5 linked regions of the Macaca mulatta genome follow. The protein of the gene in region 1 interacts with the protein of each later gene in a biochemical or structural test. Links are inferred from orthologs where the notes say so. Each region holds a gene or a part of one and is shown on either strand. Other genes may lie near its edges. The genes, in order: PEX5, AGXT, DDO, PEX13 and PEX7.

Region 1 (5,932 bases):
GAATAACAGTCTCATTGTGATGTTTTCTGTTTTTGGTACAAGTTTGCCATGAGCAGACTAATGATAATAGCTAACATTTGTTACTGTGTGCGTTGGTCTTCACAGCAGCCCCTACTGTTATCTCTGCTTTAACGATAAGGACATGGAAACTTAAGAAGGTTGAGTAACTCGTCTGAAGATGCACAGTGAATAAATGATGGAGTTAGGATTTAAATGTGGGTAGGCTGACCCTAGAACCTGTATTCTTCTCCACAGTGCTGCTATTTAGCAGACACAGAAACTTTCATGAGTAAGAGTAGTAGCAAGTTCTGAGTTTTTGAATTTTGAGCTTGGGAAAGATGTGCCTAGAAGGAATGAGTAAACAATGAGAAATTATATGAGGCGCACATTTTGAGTGGGATATTTGGTATCTAGGTTGTTCTCACTCTGCTAATCTATGACCTCAGGCAGGGGCATCCCCTCTTTAGACCTTAGTTGCCTTGATCTCAGATGTATCCACGTGGATCTGATTTTCTGTAGAAATTTCTCAAAGGTTGTGAAGGCAATGTGTTACTCTTCTGATTCTTTTGGTTATTTGACTCTTTCGTTGGAGTAGGTTCCCAATGCCAAGAAATTCTGGGTCTTGTGGCTAATATGGCCAAATACCAAAATTTGAGGATGGCTTTTCTCAGCTCTGGGATTTTTTTCCCTAAACTGCCTCATATCTATTGTTAAGTCCTCATGTCTGTTGTAAAAATTCAAAGGTGCTTTGTATTTTTTCTGTTTTTTTTTTTTTTTTGTCCTTGAGAGGACCATTTCATAGCAATTTGAAATATTTTCTGTGAATTTGAGGAGCACTTAGGACCAGAATATGCTTTTGTAAAATACTGTAGTTGAGAGTTAGGAGCGATTGGAGAGTTGAGGAGGGAGTAGTTATTTTTCAACAGAATGGAACTAAGAATTTCAACTAAGAATGGAACTAAGGAACTAGGAGATCTTAAAGTCTCTTTGAGTATTAAGCATCTCCTTTCTGTCTCCACACTTGAGGCAACAGTCTCATTGGGGCAAATGGAAGAGAAATGCTTCCTGTAAGAGCTAGTGAGCAGAATCTGCATTGAATTTTTGAGAGTCCTTGAAATTAAGAGACCGGATCTATGGTCAAAAAACGATTGCCAACCATATTTCTTATTACATTATACATTATATATTATAAGGTATATGTATAATGTATAATGATGTATGTGTATAATGTCTTATATACATTATAATATATAATGTAATAAGTAGTAATTATTTTTTATAATTAGGGGTATTCTGAGAATCTTGATCCTTTGTTTTTCACATTTGACATTTCATGCTCAGATTTTGAGACTACTTTGTTGACATTATTCAGGCAAAGTCTCAGTTAAAATGGAGTAAAAGTTTTTATACTTTAATACCAAAGGGGTAAGTTGACTTTCTCACTGTTAAAAGCAAGGGCAGTCAGATCTTGAAACTAGGGACAGACTGCTAGTATCAGCTAATACTTTCACAGCCCTGCCCAAATGTCCCTCTTTAATGCAAATTGGAGTTAGTAGGTTCTCAACAAGAGAATGGAGTTCCCCCTTGGGAACTGTCCTTGTCATGGGCCAGGAGGGGGGAATAGCTGGGGAAAATGGTGGCAGACTAACGAGTAAGATTAGTTCTGGACACAGGGCAGAAGGAAAGAACACTGCAGGCTTGTAGCTTCTCTTTGTTTCCTTGTTCTTTAGGGCCCGCAGTCAGTCTCCTTGTTGTTTTTCTGGCTTCAGGATATTAAGGGCAAAGTCCTGGAGGTTGAAAAACAGTTCAGCACCCTCATTGAGTTTGTTGCCTTGATAGGTTTATTCTGATGTTGCAGCAGTCCCCTTCGTCACTAGAGCTTCTGAGACAGTTTCTAGATTTAGACTGAAAAAACATAGCTACTCAAAGATAATCAAAAGTGAGAAAAGTCAGAATAGTGTTTACTTCTGTGGGCTGGGAGACTGAGGTAGCCTGTGAGGGAACTGTAAACATTCTGTGTCTTGATCCGGGTGGTGGTTATGTGAGTGTATTCATATGTGGACGTTAGTTTAGCTGTACACTTACGTTTGGTAGACATTGTATGGTTTCATATTTGTATGTTATATTTCAATTAAAAAATGAAAAAACCCACCAGACATCCATAGGGAAGAGCAGATCCATGTATCTTTCATTCTAGCCTAGCATTCCACTTCTCTGGTTCTCTTGGTAGGCAAATTACAATGAAATAAGGCTCCTTTGGCCGGGATTATGTGAACTCGGGGTAGAGGGAGAACAAACCAGAGGGTTGGTTAAGGAACAGGAGCCCTTCTGTGCTCCCTTCACTCCTTACTGGCTCTCTGCTGTACTTTTGAGGAAAGTGAAGGCCCTTCTGCTTCCTATTTCTTACTGAAATATCTTGTACTTCAAGCAAAAGAGTTTGGTTCTTAATCCTTTCCTGAGCTTCCTTATTTGATCTCCCGTTCCCAACTCTCGGTAAATTTCTGCCCCAGGCTCCTTGAGAATGGGTTGGATATTGAGTTTGTTGAAAATTTAGTAGTATATTCTTTTGACCAGGGGTTTCTGAGGGAGTCAACAGAGCTTTGTCTGCTTTGGTGTGGCTAAGAGGGTCAGTTGAATGTGGACATCTCTTTCCCTTTCCCTGAGCCCACACTGAATGAACCCGTGTGATTTCCCCACCTCTCTGCTCCTTGCAGACCCCTTGTCTGTGTCCCCCGCCCGCTGGGCTGAGGAATATTTGGAGCAATCAGAGGAGAAGCTGTGGCTGGGAGAACCTGAGGGAACAGCCACCGATCGCTGGTGAGTTCAGCTGCCCCTTTCCAAATCCTGTGAAAGGAGTATGGAGAGTTTTCCAGCCTCCTCTAACCTCCTCCATCCACGTTCTCAAACCAACTTACTTTATTACTTAAGATTTCCCGTTGGATTATTACTCCTGTGAATTTATGGTTCAAATGTAGTCAAGGACTGGGTGGTTGTGTGCCTGTACTCGGGAAACTGAGGTAGGAGGATTACTTGGGCCCAGGAGGTCAAGTCTGGCCCGAGCAACATAGTAAGACTTTGTCTTTAAAAAAAAAAAAGCACATGCATGTGCACACACAGAGCCACACACACATACACATATGTATACATGCATACATATATACATGTATATGTACATGTGTATATACACATACATGTATACACATACACGTATACATATATACACATGTAGATACATACACATGTATATATGCCTGCACATACACATACACATGCATACACATACATGTATATACATACATGCACATATGTATACACACATGTATATATACATATATACATATCAGCTGTATTTGGGAGGAAGGGAGTTTTCAGGTCATTTTAAAATATATGTATATATGTAAATATATATATTTTTCAAGAATCCTAACTATCCTATATGAAGTTCATAACTACATCTTAAAGCTCATAATTTTACCTTGTTCCCTTCTTAATTTTGAGCCTGCTACTATCACATCTATATGCAAAGATATGTTTGGGAAAGGGAGAGGTAAAAGGATGTAGCTAGTACTTTCACACTCCTGCCCAAATGTCCTTCTATAATGCAAATTGGAGTTTGTAGGTTCTCAACAGAAGAATGGAGTTCCCCCATAGGAACTGTCATTGTCATGGGCTAGGAGTGGGGAGTCGCATGGGGAAGGTGATGGCAGACTAATGTGTAAAATTAGTTCTTACCCGTTCCAGGTACGATGAATATCATTCTGAGGAGGATCTGCAGCACACGGCCAGTGACTTTGTGGCCAAAGTGGATGACCCCAAATTGGCTAATTCTGAGGTGAGCCACATCCCTCTGCTGCTTTGCCCAGCAGAGCTGGTTTTGGAAGGCAAGAATCTCGCTTCCCTTACCCCAGTTTAAAGAGAAGGAGAAGAGATCCTGGGTCTCTTCCTTCCTGTCTGTAGAACAGAGACTTAAGATCCTGCCTCTTCCTGCTAGTGTTCATTCCCTCAACTCCTTGCCTCCTAACTCTTGTTTCTGATGCCTTTTCACGTCTTTAGAGCCAGAAATCCCTTTCTTTTTGCTCTCTACTTCTTTTAGCGTCTTTAGCATATCTTGTCTGCAGCTAGAGATGGTCAGGGGAGGGGTGAGTACAGGCTCCTCTTGGGCATGATTGAGAGTGCACACCTGGAAGTCCTTTCCCAAGTGGCCTGTGTGTGTCTCTGTGCCCCAGTTCCTGAAATTCGTGCGGCAGATTGGCGAAGGGCAGGTGTCCCTGGAGTCCGGTGCAGGGTCGGGCCGAGCTCAGGCAGAACAGTGGGCAGCAGAGTTTATACAGCAGCAGGTAGGACATTGTCACTTTCCAGTCCCACTTCAGAGCCAGCTGATGGCCCAGGCCATGGGTTCAGTGGTCAGTGGTCCCCGATGGGGAAGGATGAGGCCAGCTTGTCTTGATAGCACCCAGGTCCCAAGTGGGTGGGAAAGAGATTCTGAGAATGGTTTTCTCAGAAGTACCCAGGTTGGTGGTGTTTAGTGGGTATTTAGTGTGTGTCTGAAGGGTGGAAAGTTGGTGGTGGTGGTACTGACCATCCTTTTTTGTCACAGGGCACATCAGATGCCTGGGTTGACCAGTTCACAAGACCAGTAAACACATCTGCCCTTGATATGGAGTTTGAACGAGCCAAGTCAGCTATAGAGGTGAGAGCAGATAGTGCAGGAGGAGGCAACCCGAAAGAAAACACTCCTTGGAGTGAGTGGGTGTCTTGGAGTGAGTGGGTGCCTTGGAGTGAGTGGGTGCCTTGGAGTGAGTGGGTGCCTTGGAGTGAGTGGGTGTATGAACATCAAAGATGGTGCAAACTGTCCTGGATCATCTGTGTCAGAGTTGCTTGGGGATGGGGTGGGTGCTGTTCAAAAATGCAGATTTCTGGGCCACACATGGTGGCTCATGCCTATAATCTCAGCACTTTGGGAGCCCGAGGTGGGTGGATGACCTGAGGTTAGGAGTTTGAGACCAGCCTCAACAACATGGAGAAACCCCATGTCTCTACTAAAAATACAAAATTTGCGTGGTGTGGTGGCGCATGCCTGTAATCCCAGCTACTTGGGAGGCTGAGGCAGGATAATCGCTTGAACCTGGGAGTTGGAGGTTGCAACGAGATGAGATCATGCCGTTGCACTCTAGCCTGGGCAACAAGAGCAAAACTCTGTCTCAAACAAAAAAGTAAACAAAACAAAACAAAACTAAACTACAGATTTCTGGCCATCACCCCAGACTACTAAATAAGTATCTGGGGATAGGATCCGGCCATCTGCATTTTTAAAAAGTTATTCACATGATTCTTAACCATGTTGAAATTCAAGAACTGCTGCCTTAGGGAATCAGTCCCAGCAGAGCTGAGAGTGGGGTGGGGTGGTCATGATGGATCTCCTTTTTCTATCCGCCTTCCCTTCCTTACAGTCTGATGTCGATTTCTGGGACAAGTTGCAGGCAGAGTTGGAGGAGATGGCAAAACGGGATGCTGAGGCTCACCCCTGGCTTTCTGACTATGATGACCTCACGTCAGCTACCTATGATAAGGTAAGGTAAAAACTCTTAGTTTTTCAGGTTCCAGAACTTCCTTCTTTTTAATATGTTTCCTTTAATCCTGAATTTGAAGGGTGCTTTTAAGTATTTTCTTGAGTCCCTTTCCATGAAAAGAAGTCTGAATCATTCCCTTGCCCTTCCTCTTCAGTGATTGAGTATATACTTTATTCTTGGGATATAGATGTTACTGAGACTACCTTTGTCAATAACGACAATCCAGTACACAACACCTGTGAAGGAGGTTTGCACTTGCTTGCCGCATTAAGAGCACAGAGGAAGTAGCTGTGCTTGGAGGTCAGATTGGGAGCTTTTTGAGAAGACTGCTGACTCCTTTGGTGGGGAGTGTTAGTGGGCAG
Region 2 (5,932 bases), on another chromosome or scaffold:
CTGTCCTGCACCCAGGAGCCCGAGTGCACCCAATGACCAAGGACCCTGGAGGCCACTACACACTGCAGGAGGTGGAGGAGGTAGGGGGACCCAGGGTGGGGGTCAGGTCTGCAAGGAGGTTGGGGGGCATGCTGGCTCATGCGCTGCCTGGCAGTGACCAGCCAGTGGGGTGGGATCAGAGCCGGGAGGCTGGGGCCCATGGCTGGCCCTCAGCCCATCCTAGCATCTCCTGAGTGGCCACAGGGGAGGGCTCCATTACCTGGGAATGATGGGAAGACTGGTAGGGAGGCTTCTGTCTGGCAGGGAAACTGAGTCAGGAGCTTGGTCCTGTGGGCAGGGTCAGAGGGGCTGGAGGCAGGAGACAGGGTTGTGGTCAGGGCTGCAGAGCATGTCCCTGACACTCAGGATACTCCACCCTGTGGGCTGAAGTCAGCCTCAACCTACCTGGAGTGTGGGGGACTCCGTCCATCTAGCAACAGCCCTCACAGGCCAGGCAGCAGGCTGGGGCCACCCTTCCTCCACCTCTGCGCAAAAGTCCTGTTCTCGGAAAAGCCCTCCTCCCAAATCGGAGATGCCCCCGCCTCCGCCTCGCATGCACACCGTCAGGGAGGGGTTGAGGCGCACCCAGCCCCTGCTGCCTGGAGCTGGGCCACCCATGGGGGGTTTGTTGGGGGGTTCCTGGCCCCTGCCACTCTGAGCTTCGCCTGCAGCCATCCCTGCCTCCCCAGGGCCTGGCCCAGCACAAGCCGGTGCTGCTGTTCTTGACCCACGGGGAGTCGTCCACCGGCGTGCTGCAGCCCCTTGACGGTTTTGGGGAACTCTGCCACAGGTGAACCTGGCCCCAGGGCGGTGGGCCAGAGCACAGCTCAGAGCCAGGCTGTGGGGAGGGGTGGTTACTGGTCCCTCTGGCGCTTCTGCCCCTGGTCCCCACCTTGGCCTCTGTCACATGGTGTGGGGTGCAAGCACCTCTCAGGTCCTCTTTGCTCTGGGCTGAGTCTAAAGACAATCCCAGGCCCCGGGGCAGGCTCAGGTGCTCCCTGGCCAAGCACCCCCACGGTGCCCACTGACCTCTGTCCCCATGACTGAAGAGGGCTTGGCACAGACCTCCATATCTTGCCAGGGCCTGTCCCCACCTCGCCCCGAGATTGCAAGGGCACTAAAGCTCCCTGATGCCCTCCGCTTCCCTCCTCCAGCCTCCCTTACCCCCGCATGGGGGTGCACAGGGCAGGGCCTTGAATGGAGTCAGACGGGATTCCTGAGAAATGGGGACAGAGCCCCTTGGGACCTAGCAGTCCCGTCGGCAGGTCTGAGCACAGGACAGAGGAGAGAAACTCCACGGCCAGGGAGGATCCTTCAGCAGGGCCCCCAGCCCGGACAGCTTGCTACATGGACCGTGGCCATGAATAAAGCTCACAAACATAACCTGGCCGGCTTCAGCAACACCCAGGCCGTCCCCACCTGCAGCCAGCACGAGATACTTTCTGTATCTTTCTTTTCTTTACAAGAAAATATGGAGGTGGACGAGGGTGAGAGTTCAGAGGGCGAGAGTTTGGAGGGTGAGAGTTCGGAGGGTGAGAGTTCGCGGTGCTGCTGTTTGTGCTGTTCTGGGACTCTGTCCCCTCCGGCCCTGGACTCTGGCCAGTGGCTGGGCCGAGCAGCTGTTGGCAGAGGGAGGCCCAGCTTGGTGCCACCGTGGTCCCTGGGGTCCACACAGGCCCTCATGTGCCTGCTGTCCCTGGGGAACCACAGACTGCCCGGCTGACCCTCTTCGGCACCACTGCAGGGCCCTGCAGCTGGGTCCCACCAGGGCCATGATGCTCCCTCACTCCCCCAGCTCCTTCTGCTCCAATGATCAGGGCTGCAAAAGAAAGAGCCACAGGTCCTGACGGATCCTGACAGGCAGGAGAAGGCAACTGGCCAACTCCTGGGGCACAGGTGGGAGGCACCCCCCCTTCCTTGCCAGCCTGAGGCTCAGAAACCCCATCCAGACTGGGGCCCAAGCCCTCCAGCGGCCCCCTGCCTCACCTGCGGCCCTCCGTTCCATCCCCCATCTCTCTAGGTACAAGTGCCTGCTCCTGGTGGATTCGGTGGTATCCCTGGGTGGGACCCCTCTCTACATGGACCAGCAAGGTAAGGGTGTGCTCTGAGGGTCCTACCCAGCCCAAGCAGCCAGGGGCTCCGGGTGCAGGAAGCCCTGCTGGAAGTGCGCATCCGGCAGCCAACACTGCGGATTCGGCCTCATCTCCACCCGGCCCAGGGAAACACTCACTCCTTACTGGGGCAAGAGCGGCTCCATGAACTACCCGGCACCCCAGTGTTTCCACTGAGCTTTCAGATCCAGGCATGGGGACTGGCGGGAGGGACAGCTGGTGGGGGACATTTGAGAGGCCCCAGAGCTGTAGTAGAAGCAGTGGCCAGGGCTCCAGTCGATCAGGTGTAGGGGACCCCTCTGCCGAACCCCCAGAGGCTCAGTTTCACATCCGCCCTGCACCCCGCCAGGCTGCCCACAGCAGTGAGCACCACTGCACAGGGTCACCTCGCAGGGAAGCTCACCCAGGCCGGCCGAGGGGACCAAGGCGCCTCCTGTGCCCATCAGCACGTTTACGAGGGAGAGCCTGCACCCTGCGCCCACTGCGGTGCCTGCCCACCCACTCCATGGGAGCCTCTCTGTTTCTGCAGAGCCCCTCCTGATTTGGGAGATCTCAGGCAGGAAGGGAGGGATTTTTGGGCTGATCCTCAAACTACTACTGAAAGCAGGGACCTGGGGAGGGACCCGGGGACACGAGGCCAGGGACGGCAGGGCTGTCCCTGGGGACCATTCGCACAGCGGAGGGAGAAGCTGCGCTAAAAGGCTCAGGCCTGAGGTCATGGCTGCCACACAACAGTGCTGAGATTCGAACCCAGGATTCCCTTCCATGTCTCCCCTCCCATCGTGTCCGGATTCTTGTGGGGTCGTAGCCCACCAGCCCATTAGCTAGGCAGGCACCCCGCTGGACCGGCCTGCCCTGTGGTGGGGCTCCCCCGTCCCAAACAAACCACCCATCTACAGGCATCGACATCCTGTACTCGGGCTCCCAGAAGGTCCTGAACGCCCCCCCAGGGACCTCGTTCATCTCCTTCAGTGACAAGGCCAAGTGAGTGACCCACAGACCCTCACCTCTGTGCAGGGCTGGGCTCGCAGGGAGCTCAGGTGGCCCGAGGCAGGAGGGGCGGGAGCCAGGCTGGAAGGGCTCCCCAGGCTCCTCCAGCACCTGGCGCTCTCCTGCCCACCCTCCGGGAGGCCAAAGGCACTGCGTTCACGGGGAGTGGGGAGGCCAGGCAAGGGGAGGGCCGTGGGCATGTGCAGGGTGCAGAGTCCGCTGCTCTGGAAGTTCCCAGCTTCACACCAAGGAGTGGCCAGGAAAGAACTGAGGGCCTGGGGCCCAGCACCCCGACCCACCCTGGCTTGGCTTCCAGGGGCTGCCCCAAGGCACAACGTGGACCACACATGGTGCCCCCTGCAGTCCCAATCTCACCTCCCGCTCCTGGTGTCCAGATTCCGAGCCAGGCCAGGCAGGGGTGGGGGAAGAGGGCCAGGCCTCACAGGCGGTTCACATCCAGCTGCAGCCTGGCAACTGGAGGTGCCATTCCCCAGAACAGAGAGGACTTTGGGGTGAAGTCAGGAATTCGGTGTTGGACGTGGGAGGTCTGAGATGCCCGTTGGATCACAGGGGAGGGTGAAGGAGGCGGCTGGGTGTGAGTCAGGAGCCTGGGGAAAGACCGGGGCTGGCCCACCAACTTGGAGTTGTAGAGACGGACACATTTAAAGTTTTAAGCCTGGCCAGTGTGCCCTGGGGCCCGAAAGCAGTCACCTTTGGATGATGTGAGAAATGAAGGCTGACCCTGTAGGAAGGGCTGGGGGAGAGAAAGGGGCACACAGAATGGAGGGAGCTGGCCTCAGTGCCCCCATGGCAGGGTCACACCCACATGGGCAGAGGTGCAGGCTGGGCCCAAGGGCCAGCGGTACTGGACAGCTGAGGGACCCAGGACCTGCCCGGTCCCACATTGGCCCCTGAGTATAAATGCAGCTGGGGCAGGCCCTCCTGGGGGCCCCACCCCGTCTCACTCCTGTGAAACAGGACAGCCAGCAAGACTGCTCCTGCCTTCAGCCCAAACTGAGGGGCCGGTGCTCAGGCTGCTTTTCCTCCCCAGAAAGAAGATGTACTCCCGCAAGACGAAGCCCTTCTCCTTCTACCTGGACATCAAGTGGCTGGCCAACTTCTGGGGTTGTGACGGCCAGCCCAGGATGTGAGGCCCGGCAGGGACGGGAAGGTGTGGGGGGTGCTGGGAATGGCTGGCTGGGGGGACGCTGACCTTTCACTGCACTCAGGGATTCTCCGAGCCCCCCACCTTCATGCCACAAGAACCCCAATCAGAGTCCCAGAACTCACCTGCATCGGGCGGTCGGCATGCCCCACCCTGGGTTTCCCCATCCCTCGACTGGCCCGAGGCTCTGGGCAGGGGCATGGCCCCCACTGCCTCTTCCACAAACTCTGTCCCCCCGCTCAGAGGTCCCAGCACATCCTCGGGCACTTTGGACCTGGCCCTGCCATATCTCCCCACTCCTGGGCCTCAGTTTATCCCCTTTCAAAAGATAATCTTGGCCATAAACCCAAGGCCCCTTATGTTACACACAGGGACAAGGCTCCAGGAATGCTGCCCTAGCCCAGTGGGCACAGAGGGCCAGTGCTGGCTTCGTGGGCACGCTGGGGCTGAGGGGCTCAGCAGGGTGGTGGTGGTGTGTGTCTCTGCTCCTGTACCACCCACCGCATCCTGGCCGGGCCCCACATGGAGCCATGCTCTCCCCGGCAGACAAAGCTGCCTTCCCGGTCCAAAGTTCTGAACCCAGACAAGACTCCTGTGGCGGATACCGGCCTGTGCTCAGACAGCCTGTGCTGTTGGGGCTGGGGCAGACAGAGCTAATGCCCCATCTGCCCCCAAACCTGCCCGTGGTGCTGGACCAAGCCCCCTCGTATCTTCCAGGTACCATCACACGATCCCCGTCATCAGCCTGTACAGCCTGAGAGAGAGCCTGGCCCTCATTGCGGAACAGGTGCGTGGGCTGCACTCCACAGGAGGAGACAGGGCCACTGGCTGGATTGTCGAGGGCACGGCCTGCAGAGAAGGAACCATTCCTGGTGCACAGAGAGAAGGGAGCCTGCCAGAGAGAGGCCCTCAGTGGGGGTGGGGGAGAGAGGACAGGCCCCGGGCACACTGGCTGTGGGCAGGGCCGGGAGGACGCAGCCCCAGGGACAGATGCAGCAATGGGGCAAGTGTGGACGCTCCCAGCCGTTCCACTGCCGTGTGAAGCAGTAAGTGAGGCCCGGTGAGTGGAGGGCTGGGAGAAGGGGAGGCCGCCGAAGGGCCAGAGACATGCAGCCTGCAGATAGGTGGGCGTGGATGTAAAGTGAGGGGCTGGAAGCTCCTGCAGGTTTGTCCTGTGTCCCACAGGGCCCATTGCCAGCCACCAGTCCAGAGTCCAGGAAGGATCCCCAGGCTGCAGCCAGCTTCCCGTGAGGTTGCAAGGCCGTGCCTGCCATGTTTGTTCTCCTGGGTCCACTCATAAAGCCACTGCCTAGGGCTGGGTTAGTGCCAGGGTACCCCCGTAAGCTGGATGCCACCCGCACCCCTGGGGGAAGGCGAAGGGTCAGGCGCTCACACAGGGAGAGGCTCTAGGGTCGTAAAGGTGGGTGGGGGTTGTGAGTCGTGGGGGGAAGGGAGAGAACAGGACCAGGGCACAGTCAAGGGTAGAGGCGTGGGGACCTGGCAGAGTGAGGATTGCAGGGGCACGTGTACAGGGAAGACAGGCCAGGGCCAGAGTAGAGAGCAGCTGCTGCCCCGGGGCACCCACCTGGGGTGGCCATGGGAGCTGGTGGCTGGAGACCAGGAGGAC
Region 3 (5,282 bases), on another chromosome or scaffold:
ACACACTGAAACGTGTTGCTCAGTATTACTACAAAACTCCAATTTACTCTTCTTTCTATGCCAATGTTAAGGTGAAAAACAACCTTTACAGAGTTATTTTACCTTTAAAAACATTTATCTATTACTGTATGTTTAAGAACATAATTTAAGTTTCTAAATTGGTTGTTCTTACCGAGAGAGCCAAAAAAAACCCTGTCCCCATAAATTTGCTACATTAAATACTTTTTATCTATGAACAGTTTTACTTATAAAACAAACAAACAAACACAACAGTAGCTCCAGCTTCATTCTCTCTCTTTTAACTACTTTTAGTTACACCAAAAAGTAATTCATTGGCTTTATTGGTTCTCTGTGGCCCCAAAGTGTAGATGCTTGCCCGATTCTTTTCTTTGGTTTGCTCGTCTCAGGTAAACAACATACTCCCTTCCTTGGATTTTTAGAATAAAAAGCAACCGAATTTAGGTTCTGTCGTTTGAAGCACTGATGCTGGCAATGCAGCTTGCATTTAATAGGAAGTGCGTTGTAGGTTCATGTGATCTCAGAGCAAGCGGAACCTCTGAGTTCTTCTTGCCTCCTGAGGGTGCTGGACAGAGTACAAGCCCTCAACAAATATTTGTTGAATAATCAATGAGTCTAATCCAGAGGGTTCAAACTGTTCTTGAAACTGCTCAGTGGAGATACTTCAGAGGTCTCTGCAGAGGGAGGGAGTGTGAAGAGACTGAGCAGATGGAGCTCTGCCCAGCAGCTTGGCCTTCAGTCAAATGCAGAGAACTGCAAAGATGCTGAGACGACAGCCTGTGGCTGGTACTTGATGGAATATGAAGCTGAGCTATTGGGGTCAGGGTCTAAGATGCCACTGAGTAGCAATGTTGATCTCTTCCGCACTCATCAACGTGAGGCATTTTTTTTCTTCCTTCCTTTCTTTCTTTCTTTCTTTCTTTCTTTCTTTCTTTCTTTCTTTCTTTCTTTCTTTCTTTCTTTCTTTCTTTCTTTCTTTCCTTCCTTCTTTCTCTTTCTTTTCTTTCTTCCTTCCTTTCTTTCTTTCTTTCTTTCTTTCTTTCTTTCTTTCTTTCTTTCTTTCTTTCTTTCTTTCTTGCTGTTAGGTGTATTTTACCTCAATTTAAATAAAGACTACAGGTACTGGATAAGCCATTTCTTTTCATGATTGATATAGTTGGTCCAAAAAACATAACAATTACCAATCACAGCTGCCATTTAGCTCATTAGCTACAAATATTTTGTGTTCTTCTCGTGCTAACACACTTGTAGACATAAAGCTGGTGGGGATATGACCCCTGTATCTTTTAGTTAGGGAGACCAGACTAATACAAAGGAGCATGCAAGAGTTAACAATATGAGATAAAATGTATCAAATTTAGGTGTTAAATAAGTAGTAGAAATAAGAAATGCTTGGACATTTAAAATACCAAATCAACTTGGCATTTATTCAGCATCTATAACAATATAGGAATTCTACAAAATTTTAAAAGGGCAAAGCATGTAATTACCTTTGTTTTGAACTTTCAAGTGGTTTCCATTTAGATTCAACTTTAGAAATCCCCAGTTCCTAGGATGTGAAGCAGTTGATGGCTCGAATTTGGCCTGATTGGGCCCTGGAAGCTCCTGGGGTGTTTGTTCATCAGATGATTGCCTAATTTTTGTTCCTGGGTTCCTTTTCTTTACTTCCTAGAAGTAGTTGATCAGGATGCTGACAAAGGTTCACTTCATGACCTCTCTTCCATAGGATAAAAGGAAGTGGAGGCTGGATGCTCACTCGGCGAATAGACGACCTGTGGGAACTTTATCCGTCCTTCGACATCGTGGTCAACTGTTCAGGCCTTGGAAGCAGACAGCTTGCAGGAGACGCAAAGATTTTCCCTGTAAGGGGCCAAGTGCTCCAAGTTCAGGCTCCCTGGGTGGAGCATTTTATCCGAGATGGCAGTGGGCTGACGTATATTTATCCTGGTACATCCCATGTAACCCTAGGTGGAACTAGGCAAAAAGGGGACTGGAATCTGTCCCCAGATGCAGAAAATAGCAGAGAAATTCTTTCCCGATGCTGTGCTCTGGAGCCCTCCCTCCACGGAGCCTGCAACATCAGGGAGAAGGTGGGCTTGAGGCCCTACAGGCCAGGTGTGCGACTGCAGACAGAGCTCCTTGCCCGAGATGGCCGGAGGCTGCCTGTAGTCCACCACTATGGCCATGGGAGTGGGGGCATCTCGGTGCACTGGGGCACTGCTCTGGAGGCTGCCAGGCTGGTGAGCGAGTGTGTCCATGCCCTCAGGACCCCCATTCCCAAGTCAAAGCTGTAGATGACATAAAATGACAGCAAATAGACTGAGAGACTGTTGATCAAAGCACAGAATAGGTTCAAATGACTTTTCCACTGCATGTAAGTTTAATTAGACATTTCTTTGTTTTCAACATTAGAAGTGGTATAACATGTAAGCTGAGCACAGTGGCATGCCTATAGTCCCAGCTACTTGAGAGGCTGAGGCATGAGGATCACTTAAGCCCAGGAGTTTAAGTGCAATCTGGATAATATAACCAGACCCCACCTCTAAAAAACCCAACAACAACAAAAGAAATGATGCAACATGTAGGCTTCCTTAGGAAGTCTACCATTAATGACATAGGGCATAAAGCTCTATTTTTTGTTGAAAATACTTCTTATAGAGTAAAATTTCTTTAGAACTGATGTCCAAGGACCTATGCAGATTTATATGAATGTTGGAAGCTACAGAGATTTTGATATCATTTGGCTTATAAATCCACACGAAGAGATAATGTATGGAAAACGCTTAAATCACTGTCAATTGTAGAGCTGCCCGTGATCTTCGTAGGTTATAGCCAAGTCAGCAACATAATTCCTCTAAATAAAATTACATGGTGCTCACACAATGCAGGATTATTATGTTTAATTGAAGACAAAGCATGCTTGCTCCTAGTACTGGCGGCAACCTTTTCCTCCCCTCAGCTGGTAATGATGGTAGGAGACAGAGATGAAGCTGCCTGTGGATGTCATATCAATTCACTAGCTGCCTGGGGTCAAACACCTAGGGGTTGTACATTCCATTACTGTAAATGATTGAGAGCTGGTTTGCAGTATGGTTGGGTTAAGCATTTTTGAAGATGAACAGCATGTGCAGCCAAAGAACTAATTTGCTAATTAAGGTGAAACAATCATTCTGAATGAAATATAATCAGAGTATTCTGCAGTTTGTTAAGAAGTTTTGGGGAGGAGGGGAATGTGTCTCACAATAAAATGAGTTGGAATTGTGGAGCTAAATGAATTGAACCTGTTTTTTGACTCAGGCCTACTCAGAGCCTTTAATGTGTGCATGTGTAATGTGAATCCTCTAGAGAGCTTGGGTGGATGGAAAAGGACGTGCTGGTATTGAGGTAAAGAGGCTTGAGGAGGCTGGGCACGGTGGCTCACACCTCCAATCCCAGTACTTTGGGAGGCCGAGGTGGGTGGATCACCTGAGTTCAGGAGTTCAAGACCACCTTGGCCAGCATGGTGAAAGCTCATCTCTACAAAAATACAAAAATTAGCTGTGCATGATGGCGGGTGCCTGTAATCCCAGCTACTCAGGAGGCTGAGGTAGGAGAATCGCTTGAGCCCGGGAGATGGAGGTTTCAGTGAACTGAGACACACCATTACACTCCAGCCTGGGTGACAGAGGAAGACTCCGTCTCAAAAAAAAAAAAAAAAAAAAAAAAAAAGGCTTGAGGAGAAATGGCTTTAATTTTAATTTTTGGGGAAGATGACTTCTGTTAAATGATACAGTAAATTCTATTTTGGACATCCTGAGTGAGATATAGGGTTGCCAATGAAGAAAGTGTGGGAAAGAAGCTCTCAGCACAGCTACAGCTTTGCTGTTGTGTTCATTCAGAACTTGCATATAATTTTGTTTGCAGAGAACATTCTGCTGGTAGACAGCGAGAGAAGAGCCCACCAGTGTTTTATGCAATCAGAATCATTCCTTGCAGTATTAACATTCTCAAGGAAAATCAAATGTGGGCTCTTTTCTATAGACTTCCACCAGGGGGTGGTGTTGTATCAGATTCAGATACATTGGTACATTCAAAAATTTAGAAATGACTAGAAATAAAAGATGGATACCAGGTATATATATAGTGTGTGTGCTTCTTTTGAGATTTTGGAGTTTATACACCCCAAGTGCAACTCTTCTGAATTCTAAGTATTTGAGAAATGTATAAGTTTAGACAGACTGGAAACACACATATGTATCATACATAATCTGTGAAAAATAAAAGGTTATGATAAAATTGCATTTTTTAAAGAAGGAAATAATTTTTTAATAGTTAAAAATAAAAATGAAGGCCACGGTTCAGAATAGGTAGAATTTCTGTCATTTTGAGGCAGCTTTAAGTGTACTCCTTTGTTCACTGTGCCTGTGGTTTAGATCCTGTGGCATTTTCATTGCGTGTGGTGGCTCAACTTCTATGACCTTTGTGTATTTGCTACTCTAGTTCAGCTTCACTCTGCATTTTATATTTCTAAAGTGCAACGCTGCAAGAGTGCAAGATTGGAGGCTTCTTGAGAAAGTGGTTGTGGCTGCATGCCCTGATTTCATTTTCACTAATTGCTAAGTATTTGTTCGCAGTGTCTCTGAAATATTATTCATTTCGGTCAGTAGCTGCCAACCTGGGCTGCACCTTAGAATCACCTGGGAAGTTTTTAAACAATGTCGACGCCCAGCACTGCTTTATGAAATTAGAACCTTTGGTGGGTGAGGCGGAGCTGCTGCATCAGTGTTTACTTAAAGCTGTCCACGAAGTTCTGAGAGCCAGGGCTGAGAACCACTGAGCACTCTTTCCCTCCTCTCCTTCTAGGCCCCCGCTGCTAGCATCACCATTATCCTTCCCTTCCTTCCTCACTAACTTGGTGCATGGAGCTCAGAGGGATGTGCTCACTCAGGCAAGTGTGTCCTTAGGCACTTCTGGGCAAGCTGGCCTAGAAGAATTAGCTGTCTCCCAAAGTAGCTCTTTAGAAATACTGGAACCACCTTGCTGGCTATCGGTCAGCTGCTCCAAGACAGCTATCTGTCTTTATCTGAAAGACAAGAGACTGAGTGTACAAATGGACAATGGCTAGACCACATATAAAAATAGAACTCTGGCCCACGAGCTGCAGCAACCTGCCCAGGAAACCAATTCCCTTATCTACAATAAACAACACAGGAAGCCAGCCTCCTATGTGAGTATATCAGACTTGCAGGAAGCCAGATTGCTATCTCTAGAAATAATCCAGAAAG
Region 4 (6,527 bases), on another chromosome or scaffold:
TCCCAGTCAGGCTACACGGGGGTCAGGGACCCACTTTGAGGAGGCAGTCTGTCCGTTCTCAGAGCTCAAACACCATGCTGGGAGAACCACTGCTCTCTTCAGAGCTGTCAGACAGGGACGTTTTAAGTCTGCAGAAGTTTCTGCTGCCTTTTGTTCAGCTATCTGCCCACAGAGGTGGAGTCTATAGAGGCAGTAGGCCTTGCGGAACTGCAGTGGGCTCCTCCCAGTTCGAGCTTTCCTGCTGCTCTGTTTACCTACTCAACCCTCAGTAATGGCAGACGCCCCTCCCCCTGCCAGGCTGCTGCCTCACAGATTGATCTCAGACTGCTGTGCTAGCACTGAGTAAGGCTCCGTGAGCATGGGACCCACCGAGCCAGGCATGGGAGAGAATCTCCTGGTCTGCTGGTTGCTAAGAATGTGGGAAAAGCCCAGTATTTGGGCGAAAGTGTCCCGTTTTTCCAGGTACAGTCTGTCATGGTGTCCTTTGCTTAGGAAAGGGAAATCCCCTGACCCCTTGCGCTTCCTGAGTGAGGTGACGTCCTGCCTTGCTTCGGCTCACCCTCCATGGAGTGCGCCCAGTGTCCAACCAGTTCCAATGAGATAAATCAGGTACCTCAGATGGAAATGCAGAAATCACCTGTCCTCTGCATCAATCACGCTGGGAACTGCAGACCAGAGCTGTTCCTATTCCCACATTTTCATATTAAAGCAAAAATACACACAATGGTCTCAACAGATGCAGAAAAGCCATTCATAAAATTTAATATTTCTTAATGATAAAAATCTGAGCAAGGTAAGGGCCAGGCATAGTGGCTCACACCTATAATCCCAGCGCTTTGGGAGGCCTAGGCAGGCAGATCACCTGAGTTCAGGAGTTCGAGACCAGCATGGCCAACATAGTGAAACCCCATCTCTATTAAAAATACAAAAATTAGCTGGGCAGAGTGGCATGCACCTGTAGTCTCAACTGTCTGGGAGACTGAGGCAGGAGAATTGCTTGAACCCAGGAGGTAGAGGTTGCCATGAGCCAAGATTGCACCTCTGCACTCCAGCCTGGGAGACACAGTGAGACTCCATCTCAAACAAAAATAATAAAAATAAAATTTAAAAACTCTGAACAAGGTAGAGAGAGAGAATTTTGACAAGATATCTATCAAAAACAAAAAGCTAACTTCACATTTAACAGTAAAACTTCAGAAGCACTCCAATGGAAGTCAGGACCAATATAAGGATGCTAGCTTATCTGTAAATTACATAACTGGCTATACAGAACTAAAGAGAATTTCAACCAAACCATCAGAACTAATTAAGAGTTTGAGATTATGCTGCATATAATATTTACATTAAAAAAATAGCATTCTGCCATACCAGTTAATAACCAACTGGAAAATGTAAAAAGAAAAAAGAAAGCCCATTTGCAACTACTACAGCAAAAATAATCTATGAATAAAAAATATGGGAAAAAATTTCATGGAGATAGTTTAAGTTTTTTTTTTTTTGAGGCAGAGTCCCGCTCTGTCACCCAGGCTGGAGTGCAGTGGCGCGATCTCGGCTCACTGCAAGCTCCGCCTCCCAGGTTGCCGCCATTCTCCTGCCTTAGCCTCCTGAGTAGCTGGGACTACAGGTGCCCGCCACCGCGCCCGGCTAATTTTTTGTATTTTTAGTAGAGACGGGGTTTCACCGTGGTCTCGATCTCCTGCCCTTGTGATCCGCCCGCCTTGGCCTCCCAAAGTGCTGGGATTACAGGCATGAGCCACCGCGCCCGGCCAAGTTTTTTTTTTTTTTGAGATGGGAGTCTTCCTCTGTTGCCCAGGCTGCTGTGCAGTGGCATGATCTCAGCTCACTGCAAGCTCTGCTTTGTGGGTTCACGTCATTCTCCTGCCTCAGCCTCCTGAGTAGCTGGGACTACAGGTGCCCGCCACCACACCCGACTAATTTTTTTTTTGTATTTTTAGTAGAGACGGGGTTTCACCGTGTTAGCCAGGATGGTCTCGATCTCCTGACCTCGTGATCTGCTAGCCTCAGCCTCCCAAAGTGGATAATTATAAGATATTTAAGGCAAAAAGATTATCAAAATTCTCACCAATTGTAGCTTATACAACATTCATGGAATAAAAACTTACTTGATCCATAAATTCAGCTCAGTTCCAATAAAAATCCCAGTAAGTCTTTTTATAAAGGACTAAGTGTAACAAGGGCAATTACAAAGAACAGCAATGTGTGGAAACTCTTGACATACTACATATCAAAACTTATAAAATTCTGTATTAAGATAGTGTGGTGCTAGTAGAAAGTCAGAAAGTGCCCAAAACAGAACTACATATTTAGGAAAACTTGGTATGATATAGATGGCATTATAAACTGAGAATAGACTACTCAATAAATGGTGCTGAGACAATTAGTTACCTATATGGAAAAAAAATTAGATTCCCTACTTCACATCGATTTTTATACAAAGTTAGTTCCATGTGGATTAAATATATAAATGGGAAAACCAGAAGATTTAAAAGAAAACATACAGAAGAACCGTCCTGATCTAGGTAGACAGGATTTCTTGACCAAGACAAAAAGCACAAACAATAAAATACGACAGTTTTGGCAATATTAAAATCAAAAACATCTGTACAAAAAATTGAACATGAAGAGAAGCCACACAGAGAAAGATATTAGCAAAATGTAGTAACAAAAAAGGATTAGTATTAACAATACTCTTACAAATTGATAAGCAAAGATAAAGCCAATAGAAAATTGGGCAACAGAAAAAACAAAAACAGATATAAAAAATAATAAACATTAACATGTAACTATATATAACATATATATTACTGTTACATTGTTAAGTTTTAGATATAAAATGCATATAAATAGCACAAACCTAAGTACTAAAGTTAAAAAACATTACTGGGTATGCGAAACACCAAATAAGGACAATAGTCACTACTACAAAGAAGAATGGGAGACTTTAACTTTTATTTTTAAAAATGCGACATAAATTTGGCAAATGTTAACATTTTTTAAAGTTGGGTAGTGAATAAACAGGTATTCTTACTCTCTGCTAGTCTCTGTGTTTAAAATATTTCATGATAAAGTGAGCAAATGGTTAATTTTACATAAAAAGAACTTTAACAGATGCAAAAAATAAAACCTCTTCTCATTCGACAAGCAGTCTAAATGGGGAAAAAAGAACCGAATCATAAAAAAGGTAGCAGATAATGTCACCGTGGCTTACCAGCCTAATTAAAGCTTATTACTTGTGATGTATATATCCTTATTAAACTAAGTAGTTACCGTGTTAAAGCATTTTAGTGTTTAAATAAAAGATTTCAGAACACAGCAGAAATACATTCCAATATGTTGGGGTTTTTACGCTTACGAAAATCTACAATAGTAGTTGATTTGACATTTGAATCACACCTATCTGAATTAAGATGTCCAGTACTACCAAACAAAAGCCACACGAGGCCATGAAACACTCCCAACTCTGCATGTTTTAGCCTTTTCAAAGTCCTAGAAACCAACTGATACTGATTAAAAACCAAACAAAAAACTATAGCCCTCAGAAAAATACATCATTTTGCACACAAAGGCCATCCATAGGCCTCAGATCTAGAACTCCTGCTTTAATGTTGCTTCTCCAATCTCAAACTGAAACACTGGCTGAGTTACGCTGGAAAAGAAGGCAAAGCGTTCGGGGCCTGAGTTCTAGTTGCGTAAAACCTTTCGGGCTTTCGGCAACTTCTCGAGAGGTTAACACCTTTAACGAGACTTTGTTCCCTACCGATGCCGTGGCTGGACAAATGCCTCTGTCAACTGCTACAGACCCAAAGTCTATGCTCTAAAGATAGTGAAGCCGTTCTGTCAAAGTGAAAACAGAATGGGTAGGTAGGAAGCCGCCCCGCTTTCTTTCAAGCACAGAGACCCAGAGAGACGCCCAGGAGCTCCCGAAAAAAACGTTGGTGCTTAAGAGTTGCCGGGGGTCAGAAACAGCTGTGAGACACTGAAAAATCCCCACTGGTAAGCGCCCCAACTCCACCTCGACTCCTACCCGCAAGGTTGGGGACTGGTTAAAAGGGGGGGAGGGAATACCTCCCCCAACAACCGCTTCAACCGCCTTCGGCCAAGTCCCCGCTCGGGCCCACCAACCTCCCAGCCTGAAGAATCCCACACTCACTGGAAAGTGGGGCCGGGTCCTGGTCCCGGTCCGGCTCCCGGAATTCGGCGGGTCTCCCAGGGTTTCGGGGGAGGTGGCGGCTGGGACGCCATCTCCTCCGCCTCCGCTCGGCTCCCGCTCCTAGCCCGGACTGTCCAGGCCAGCGTAGACCAGCACCTCGAGCGCAAGGCACAACGGGAAGAACACCGAGCCGTCCACCCCTCCCACCCTGGCAGTCAGAACAAGGCTTGAGTTACTTCGCCAGCTGAATCCATACAGCGAGAGGATGCTACTAATTTGTAGGAAGAAACACGTTCTTTGTATGTGCCCCAGAAAAAGCTCCTGTTCTAAATCTCAGGGTAAAGGCTCATCGATATTTCTGGCAACGGCTACGACTCCCTAGACGTCAGAGTCCGACAGAGGCTTTTCTGGGAGTGGACCAGTAAGGCTGGGAGTAAAGCCCCACGCACTCCTACAGTCGCGGGGGCAGTGGGGTGAGGTGGCAAAGTAGGCGATTTGACGGATTTCCCTACAAACAAGAAGGGAGAAGCTCACTTAGTCCTAGCGAGAACGGGCTGGTACTTTCGTTTAAAGCTCACGTTTCCTCGGGGAACAGAATTGCTAGACGCAATAGGTGCGTTGTCTTTAGTCTTCCCCGTTCCCTTCGAGGGCCGGAAGGGGTTAAATCTCAGGCTCCGGCGTCTGGGGAGAAGGTGAGGCGGGTACGTATGAGGTGAAGGAGTGCAGACTGGGTGCAGAAGAGGTGTGGCGAGAGAGAGAGGTCATTTCTCTCCTGCTGGAGCGGCTTTGTTAGCAAAGGAGGGGTGAGTGGGAAGTTTGTTGCACCTGACCGAAGGGGGAAGGGCTTGCTTGGCCAAAACTGAGGCTTGAGGTTAGATCTCGGGATGAACTTTTCAAGAGTCCACAGTAGATTCCATAGCTGAATGTTTCAGAAGCCCAGTGAAGTGTGATCACCTTTTTCCCCGTAAATCCACACCCCCAGCCCCACGCCGCGGTACGAATGACACCCTTCGGTAGGGAAAGGAGTTTAAAAGATCTTAGGATATGAGACTCAGGCAGTTTTTTCTCACACCCTGCTCGTTTCCTCGTTTTCGATGACTAGTTTTTGTAATCGTCCAGGAGGTGAAAATAAAGTCCTTCCTCTCCTCCAGTAAGCCAGAGACTGGGCTAGTTATCCTTGGTCTGGGGAGGAGGGATTCAGTCCTCCTAGGGAGCCTGACACGTGAAAGGCGGCTGTGTAGCAACTTGTTAGCGTTGTTTCTATAAAACAAACACGTAAACGAAAAGCAAACATCTTGAGGGTAACCAACACTGGAAAACTTACATTATGGGATGCCTTTTTCAGGGCTTGCTTTCAAGCATAATCTAATATGGACAACCGATTTCTGATGTCTTATGAAATCCTGACATTTTATTACCTCACGATGAAACAATCAAATTTAAGGCGTAACGTGTTTTCTCCTTTTAATGTTGATGGATTGTTGGTAGGTGAAATTGAGAAGTTGATAGATTGTTAGGAGGTGAAAATGATGTTGAGAGGTTTGTAAATTCATAGCTCGTTTATTAACACACATTCAAAAGAGGTCTTTTTGTTTGTTTGGGGTCTATTTTTAGACCTCTTCAAATTACTCAGGACTGGAAGTTTTGTAATTCTCATCAATCAGGTTTGGGAACTTCTCAGAGCCAGGAGTTTGTAATGTGTCGTTTATTCGCTTTGCATGATACCTTTGTTCTTGTGAATTTATTGGAGAAATAAACATGGTCTTATAGCCATGGAAAATAAAATAAATTTTAATATAGCTATTTAAGTCTCTAGGGAAATCATTAAGTGTCCTTTTAAAGTGCTTATTGATTTGTTTATTGGAAGAGGGTGTATTTGTGTTTCTTTTTGAGTTAAATGTTACTTCTGAATTAAGTAAAAGTCTTAAGCTAAACTAATGGAGAAAAAATAACTTAGAATAACCGGTGAAACAGAAACAGTTTCTCTGTGTATGTAGTCAGAGATGCACTGTAAATGCTTATATTCAGCCCCTCACAGCATCCAATCTTTTCTCTGCATCAAACTAGATTAAATGGACTGGGAAAAGGGATACAGATCACTAGTAAATAATAATGACTTGACCTTGACCACACAGATTTTATTTATTTATTTATTTATTTATTTATTTATTTATTTATTTATTTTGAGATGGAGTCTCGGTCTTTCGCCCAGGCTGGAGTACAGTGGTGCGATCTTGGCTCACTGCAACCTCTGCCTCCTGGGTTCAGGCGATTCTCCTGCCTCAGCCTCTGGAGTAGCTGGGACTACAAGCACGTGCCACCATGCCTGGCTAATTTTTTGTATTTTTAGTAGAGA
Region 5 (5,932 bases), on another chromosome or scaffold:
GATTCCATATATAAGTGACGGGATCAGTATTACTGATGTTTTTTTTCCTCAGCCTCCAACATGGCTCAACATAGTACTGGGCAGCAGAGAGAAAGTAACCCACATTTAAGTGGCTTAAGCCCAGATACTCATACTTCCTACATATATGTGGGAGAGAGTAATAAGATTCAAAGTAACCTGCTGGCTGATCACCAATGTGATATACCAATGGCATATACGCAGGTCCTTGTCAGGACTAATTTCATAAAGTATAATTATGCACATATTTTGTTGAACTTAGTTTACAGGAGTGATCTGTGTATAATCTGTTGTATAAAATGAAGGAATGAAAACATTTCCAAAAGTTTTCAAATGGTTCATTTGAAATGGTTCACTGAGAGCAGTGAAGCATACATTAGAATAGCAGCATTGGATAACTAAAACTGTTTACCAAGAGATCTGGAAGGATCACCTGGTTCCTGCAAGCTTTTTCTAGGAAAGGCCAGATAGGGATATTAATTGAATTTTAATGCTTTCCAATAAACATTGACCCAGCAAGCTTTTTTAGATGACTAACTTTCTAATCTGCTTTGACATTTCTTCGTGGGGCTGCAAACAGTGATTTGTTGGTAGGTTTTAAAATATGTATAATTTGTTTCAGTGAAGAAGGTTTGGAAGTATACTGTAGAATTCTATGAAAGCAGAATGGAGTCTTATCTGTAAGGAATAAGTCTGGAGGAATGGACAAGATCAACTTCTCATTTCTCGGACACCTTGTTGAGATGGATAGGAATTATTTGATGTTTTGACATAGTAAATTAGTTGTTCTGCCTCTCACTGTTATATAACAAGAGATAAAATGCAACGTTGAACTTGATGGTCTTTTGCTTTCTAAATGCTTTTGATTGTTTTTAGGTGTATAGTGTTGATTGGAGCCAAACCAGAGGTGAACAGCTTGTGGTGTCTGGCTCATGGGATCGAACTGTCAAATTGGTATGATAGCATTATTGTATTCGAAAACAAATATTCCCCTCTCTAGAGCTTCTGCTAAATTTTCTTTTCTTTTCCAAACATACTTCTGTAGCTTTATGATTGGATAGCTGAGTTTTCTTAAAAAAAAAAAATTAAAACATTTATTAGAACTTAAAATTTTCTAATCTTTTGGCTGTGAACTAATAGCTCAGCATTAGTTTGGCACTTAAATACCATCCTGCTTTATATCAAAATAGATCTTTAAAAATCCTTGAGATCTGTATATATATTGTATGTGTATATATAAATGTATATAGTTTATTGGTATGTATAGTATATGTAAAAGCATAAATTTGAATTTATCCCTCTTGAGCAATTGATCTATTCATTTATTTTTAGTGGGATCCAACTGTTGGAAAGTCTCTGTGCACCTTTAGAGGCCATGAAAGTATTATTTATAGCACAATCTGGTCTCCCCACATCCCTGGTTGTTTTGCTTCAGCCTCAGGTAAGTAATTCTGTATTTACCAAAAGCCTTATTTGTAGTGAATGGTGGCCTTGTTTTTACCATTAGGTGGCGCTGTGTACCTTAGATTCAAAGAGAAAACAGGAGCCTATTACTACTCTTTTGTGCTCTTAAGACTTTACTTGTTTTTTTTAATTTTTATTTTTTATTTTTATTATTATACTTTAAGTTCTAGGGTACATGTGCACAACATGCAGGTTTGTTACATATGTATACATGTGCCATGTTGGTTGCTGCACCCATTAACTGGTCATTTATATTAGGTATATCTCCTAATGCTATCCCTCCCCCCTTTCCCCACCCCATGACAGGCCCTGGTGTGTGATGTTCCCCATCCTGTGTCCAAGGGTTCTCATTGTTCAATTCCCACCTATGAGTGAGAACATGTGGTGTTTGGTTTTCTGTCCTTGCAATAGTTTGCTCAGAATGATGGTTTCCAGCTTTGTCCATGTCCCTACAAAGGACATGAACTCATGTTTTTTTATGGCTGCATAGTATTCTATGGTGTATATGTGCCACATTTTCTTAATCCAGTCTATCATTGATGGACATTTGGGTTGGTTCCAAGTCTTTGCTATTGTGAATAGTGCCACAATAAACATACATGTGCATGTGTCTTTATAGCAGCATGATTTATAATCCTTTGGGTATGTACCTAGTAATGGGATTGCTGGGTCAAATGGTATTTCTGGTTCTAGATCCTTGAGGAATTGCCACACTGTCTTCCACAATGGTTGAACTAGTTTACAATCCCACCAACAGTGTAAAAGTGTTCCTATTTCTCCACATCCTCTCTAGCACCTGTTGTTTCCTGACTTGTTAATGATCACCATTCTAACTGGTGTGAGATGGTATCTCATTGTGGTTTCGATTTGCATTTCTCTGATAGCCAGTGATGATGAGCATTTTTTCATGTGTCTGTTGGCTGCGTAAATGTCTTCTTTTGAGAAGTGTCTGTTCTTATCCTTCGCCCACTTTTTGATGCGGTTGTTTGATTTTTTTCTTGTAAATTTAAGTTCTTTGTAGATTCTGGATATTAGCTCATTGTCAGATGGGTAGACTGCAAAAATTTTCTCCCAATCTGTAGGTTGCCTGTTCACTGTGATGGTAGTTTCTTTTGCTGTGCAGAAGCTCTTTAGTTTAATTAGATCCCATTTGTCAATTTTGGCTTTTGTTGCCATTGCTTTTGGTGTTTTAGTCATGAAGTCCTTGCCCATGCCTATGAGCTGAATGGTATTGCATAGGTTTTCTTCTAGGGTTTTGATGGTTTTAAGTCTAACATTTAAGTCTTTAATCCATCTTGAATTAATTTTTGTATAAGATGTAAGGAAGGGATCCAGTTTCAGCTTTCTACATATGGCTAGCCAATTTTCCCAGCACCATTTATTAAATAGGGAATCCTTTCCCTATTTCTTGTTTTTGTCAGGTTTGTCAAAGATCAGATGGTTGTAGGTGTGTGGTATTATTTCTGAGGGCCCTGTTCTGTTCTATTGGTCTATACCTCTGTTTTGGTACCAGTACCATGCTGTTTTGGTTACTGTACCCTTGTAGTATAGTTTGAAGTCAGGTAGCATGATGCCTCCAGCTTTGCTCTTTTGGCTTAGGATTGTCTTGGCAATGTGGGCTCTTTTTTGGTTCCATATGAACTTTAAAGTAGTTTTTTCCAATTCTGTGAAGAGAGTCATTGGTAGCTTGATGGGGATGGCATCAAATCTATAAATTACCTTGGGCAGTATGGCCATTTTCACAATATTGATTCTTCCTATCCATGAGCATAGAATGTTCTTCCATTTGTTTGTGTCCTCTTTTATTTCACTGAGCAGTGGTTTGTAGTTCTCCTTGAAGAGGTCCTTCACATCCCTTGTAAGTTGGATTCCTAGGTATTTTATTCTCTTTGAAGCTATTGTGAATGGGAGTTCATTCATGATTTGGCTCTCTGTTTGTCTGTTATTGGTGTATAGGAATGCTTGTGATTTTTGAACATTGATTTTGTATCCTGAGACTTTGCTGAAGTTGTTTATCAGCTTAAGGAGATTTTGGGCTGAGACGATGGGGTTTTCTAAATATACAATCATGTCACCTGCAAACAGGGACAATTTGACTTCCTCTTTTCCTAATTGAATACCCTTTATTTCTTTCTCCTGCCTGATTGCCCTAGCCAGAACTTCCAACACTGTGTTGAATAGGAGGGGTGAGAGAGGGCATCCCTGTCTTGTGCTAGTTTTCAAAGGGAATGCTTCCAGGTTTTGCCCATTCAGTATGATATTGGCTGTGGGTTTGTCATAAATAGCTCTCATTATTTTGAGATACATCCCATCAATACCAAATTTATTGAGAGTTTTTCAGCATGAAGGGCTGTTGAATTTTGTCAAAGGCCTTTTCTGCATCTATTGAGATAATCATGTGGTTTTTGTCTTTGGTTCTGTTTTTGTGCTGGATTACATTTATTGATTTGCGTATGTTGAACCAGCCTTGCATCCTGGCGATGAAGCCCACTTGATGGTGGATAAGCTTTTTGATTTGCTGCTGGATTTGGTTTGCCGGTATTTTACTGAGGATTTTTGCATCGATGTTCATCAGGGATATTGGTCTAAAATTCTCTTTTTTTGTTGTGTCTCTGCCAGGCTTTGGTATCAGGATGATGCTGGCCTCATAAAATGAGTTAGGGAGGATTCCCTCTTTTTCTATTGATTGGAATAGTTTCAGAAGGAATGGTACCAGCTCCACTTTGTACCTCTGGTAGAATTCGACTGGTCCTGGACTTTTTTTGGTTGGTAGGCTATTATTGCCTCAATTTCAGAGCCTGGTATTCGTCTATTCAGGGATTCAGCTTCTTCCTGGTTTAGTCTTGTGAGGGTGTATGTGTCTAGGAATTTATCTGTTTCTTCTGGATTTTCTAGTTTATTTGCATAGAGGTGTTTATAGTATTCTCTGATGGTAGTTTGTATTTCTGTGGGATTGGTGGTGATATCCCCTTTATCATTTTTATTGCGTCTATTTGATTCTTCTCTCTTTTCTTCTTTATTAGTCTTGTTAGCAGTCTATCAATTTTGTTGATCTTTTCAAAAAACCAGCTCCTGGATTCACTGATTTTTTGAAGGGTTTTTTGTGTCTCTATCTCCTTCAGTTCTGCTCTGATCTTAATGATTTCTTGCCTTCTGCTAGCTTTTGAATGTGTTTGCTCTTGCTTCTCTAGTTCTTTTCATGTTGGGGGGTCAGTTTTAGATCTTTCCTGCTTTCTCTTGTGGGCATTTAGTGCTGTAAATTTCCCTCTACACACTGCTTTAAATGTGTCCCAGAGATTCTGGTATGTTGTATCTTTGTTCTCATTGGTTTCAAAGAACATCTTTATTTCTGCCTTCATTTCGTTATGTACCCAGTAGTCATTCAGGAGCAGGTTGTTCAGTTTCCATGAGGTTGAGTGGTTTTGAGTGAGTTTCTTAATCCTGAGTCTAGTTTCATTGCACTATGGTCCGGGAGACAGTTTGTTATAATTTCTGTTTTTTTACATTTGCTGAGGAGTGCTTTACTTCCAATTATGTGGTCAATTTTGGAATAAGTGTGATGTGGTGCTGAGAAGGATATATATTCTGTTGATTTGGGGTGGAGAGTTCTGTAGATGTCTGTTAGGTCCGCTTGATGCAGAGCTGAGTTCAATTCCTGGATACCCTTGTTAACTTTCTGTCTCGTTGATCTGTCTAATGTTGACAGTGGGGTGTTAAAGTCTCCCATTATTATGGTATGGGAGTCTAAGTCTCTTTGTAGGTGTCTAAGGACTTGTTTCATGAATCTGGGTTCTCATATATTGGGTGCATATATATTTAGGATAGTTAGCTCTTCTTGGTCCCTTTACTATTATGTAATGGCCTTCTTTGTCTCTTCTGATCTTTGTTGGTATAAAGTCTGTTTTATCAGAGACTAGGATTGCAACCCCTGCTTTTTTTCGTTTTCCGTTTGTTTGATAGATCTTCTGTCCCTTTATTTTGAGCCTATGTGTGTCTCTGCATGTGAGATGAGTCTCCTGAATATAGTACACTGATGGGTCTTGAATCTTTATCCAGTTTACCAGTCTGTGTCTTTTAATTGGAGCATTTAGCCTATTTACATTTAAGGTTAATATTGTTATGTGTGAATTTGATCCTGTGATTATGATGTTAGCTGGTTATTTTGCTTGTTAATTGATGCAGTTTCTTCCTAGCATCGATGGTCTTTACAATTTGGCATGTTTTTGCAGTAGCTGGTACCGGTTGTTCCTTTCCATGTTTAGGACTTTACTTCTTTATCAGCCTCTTGACAAGAATTAGCTGTGGTTCAGATTACTTTTCGATGATTCCAGCTCCTAAAGAATAATTCCTAGATTTCTGGCAAGGACAAATTCATGGATGGTAATGTTATAACTGAGATATGATACATGTTTGAAAGAGAAGGTCTTGAGTTTTGTTTTAGAACACTGTT

What was found.
Region 2: the proteins of PEX5 (region 1) and AGXT are reported together in a solved structure, tested with the Homo sapiens proteins (2 studies listed by BioGRID and IntAct, with this or other methods). The link is inferred for Macaca mulatta from reciprocal best matches to the Homo sapiens genes PEX5 and AGXT.
Region 3: the proteins of PEX5 (region 1) and DDO form a complex in vitro, tested with the Homo sapiens proteins (2 studies listed by BioGRID, with this or other methods). The link is inferred for Macaca mulatta from reciprocal best matches to the Homo sapiens genes PEX5 and DDO.
Region 4: the proteins of PEX5 (region 1) and PEX13 form a complex in vitro, tested with the Homo sapiens proteins (3 studies listed by BioGRID). The link is inferred for Macaca mulatta from reciprocal best matches to the Homo sapiens genes PEX5 and PEX13.
Region 5: the proteins of PEX5 (region 1) and PEX7 form a complex in vitro, tested with the Homo sapiens proteins (3 studies listed by BioGRID). The link is inferred for Macaca mulatta from reciprocal best matches to the Homo sapiens genes PEX5 and PEX7.

The regions. Positions count from the first base shown.
Region 1 is NC_133416.1:8,213,885-8,219,816, forward strand, and holds part of PEX5 (peroxisomal biogenesis factor 5), read left to right. Parts: intron 1-2,714; coding exon 2,715-2,817; intron 2,818-3,741; coding exon 3,742-3,832; intron 3,833-4,226; coding exon 4,227-4,337; intron 4,338-4,597; coding exon 4,598-4,690; intron 4,691-5,450; coding exon 5,451-5,570; intron 5,571-5,932.
Region 2 is NC_133417.1:146,146,775-146,152,706, forward strand, and holds part of AGXT (alanine--glyoxylate aminotransferase), read left to right. Parts: intron 1-15; coding exon 16-80; intron 81-728; coding exon 729-829; intron 830-2,059; coding exon 2,060-2,130; intron 2,131-3,049; coding exon 3,050-3,134; intron 3,135-4,191; coding exon 4,192-4,287; intron 4,288-5,022; coding exon 5,023-5,092; exon of another isoform or gene 5,093-5,624; intron 5,625-5,932. UniProt on the Homo sapiens protein: Peroxisomal aminotransferase that catalyzes the transamination of glyoxylate to glycine and contributes to the glyoxylate detoxification.
Region 3 is NC_133409.1:15,435,504-15,440,785, reverse strand, and holds the end of DDO (D-aspartate oxidase), read left to right. Parts: intron 1-1,744; coding exon 1,745-2,312; 3' UTR 2,313-3,289; downstream 3,290-5,282. UniProt on the Homo sapiens protein: Selectively catalyzes the oxidative deamination of acidic amino acids. Suppresses the level of D-aspartate in the brain, an amino acid that can act as an agonist for glutamate receptors. Protects the organism from the toxicity of D-amino acids.
Region 4 is NC_133418.1:63,753,598-63,760,124, forward strand, and holds the start of PEX13 (peroxisomal biogenesis factor 13), read right to left. Parts: upstream 4,347-6,527; 5' UTR 4,264-4,346; coding exon 4,172-4,263; exon of another isoform or gene 3,762-4,171; intron 1-3,761. UniProt on the Homo sapiens protein: Component of the PEX13-PEX14 docking complex, a translocon channel that specifically mediates the import of peroxisomal cargo proteins bound to PEX5 receptor.
Region 5 is NC_133409.1:41,957,642-41,963,573, forward strand, and holds part of PEX7 (peroxisomal biogenesis factor 7), read left to right. Parts: intron 1-894; coding exon 895-972; intron 973-1,350; coding exon 1,351-1,459; intron 1,460-5,932. UniProt on the Homo sapiens protein: Receptor required for the peroxisomal import of proteins containing a C-terminal PTS2-type peroxisomal targeting signal. Specifically binds to cargo proteins containing a PTS2 peroxisomal targeting signal in the cytosol.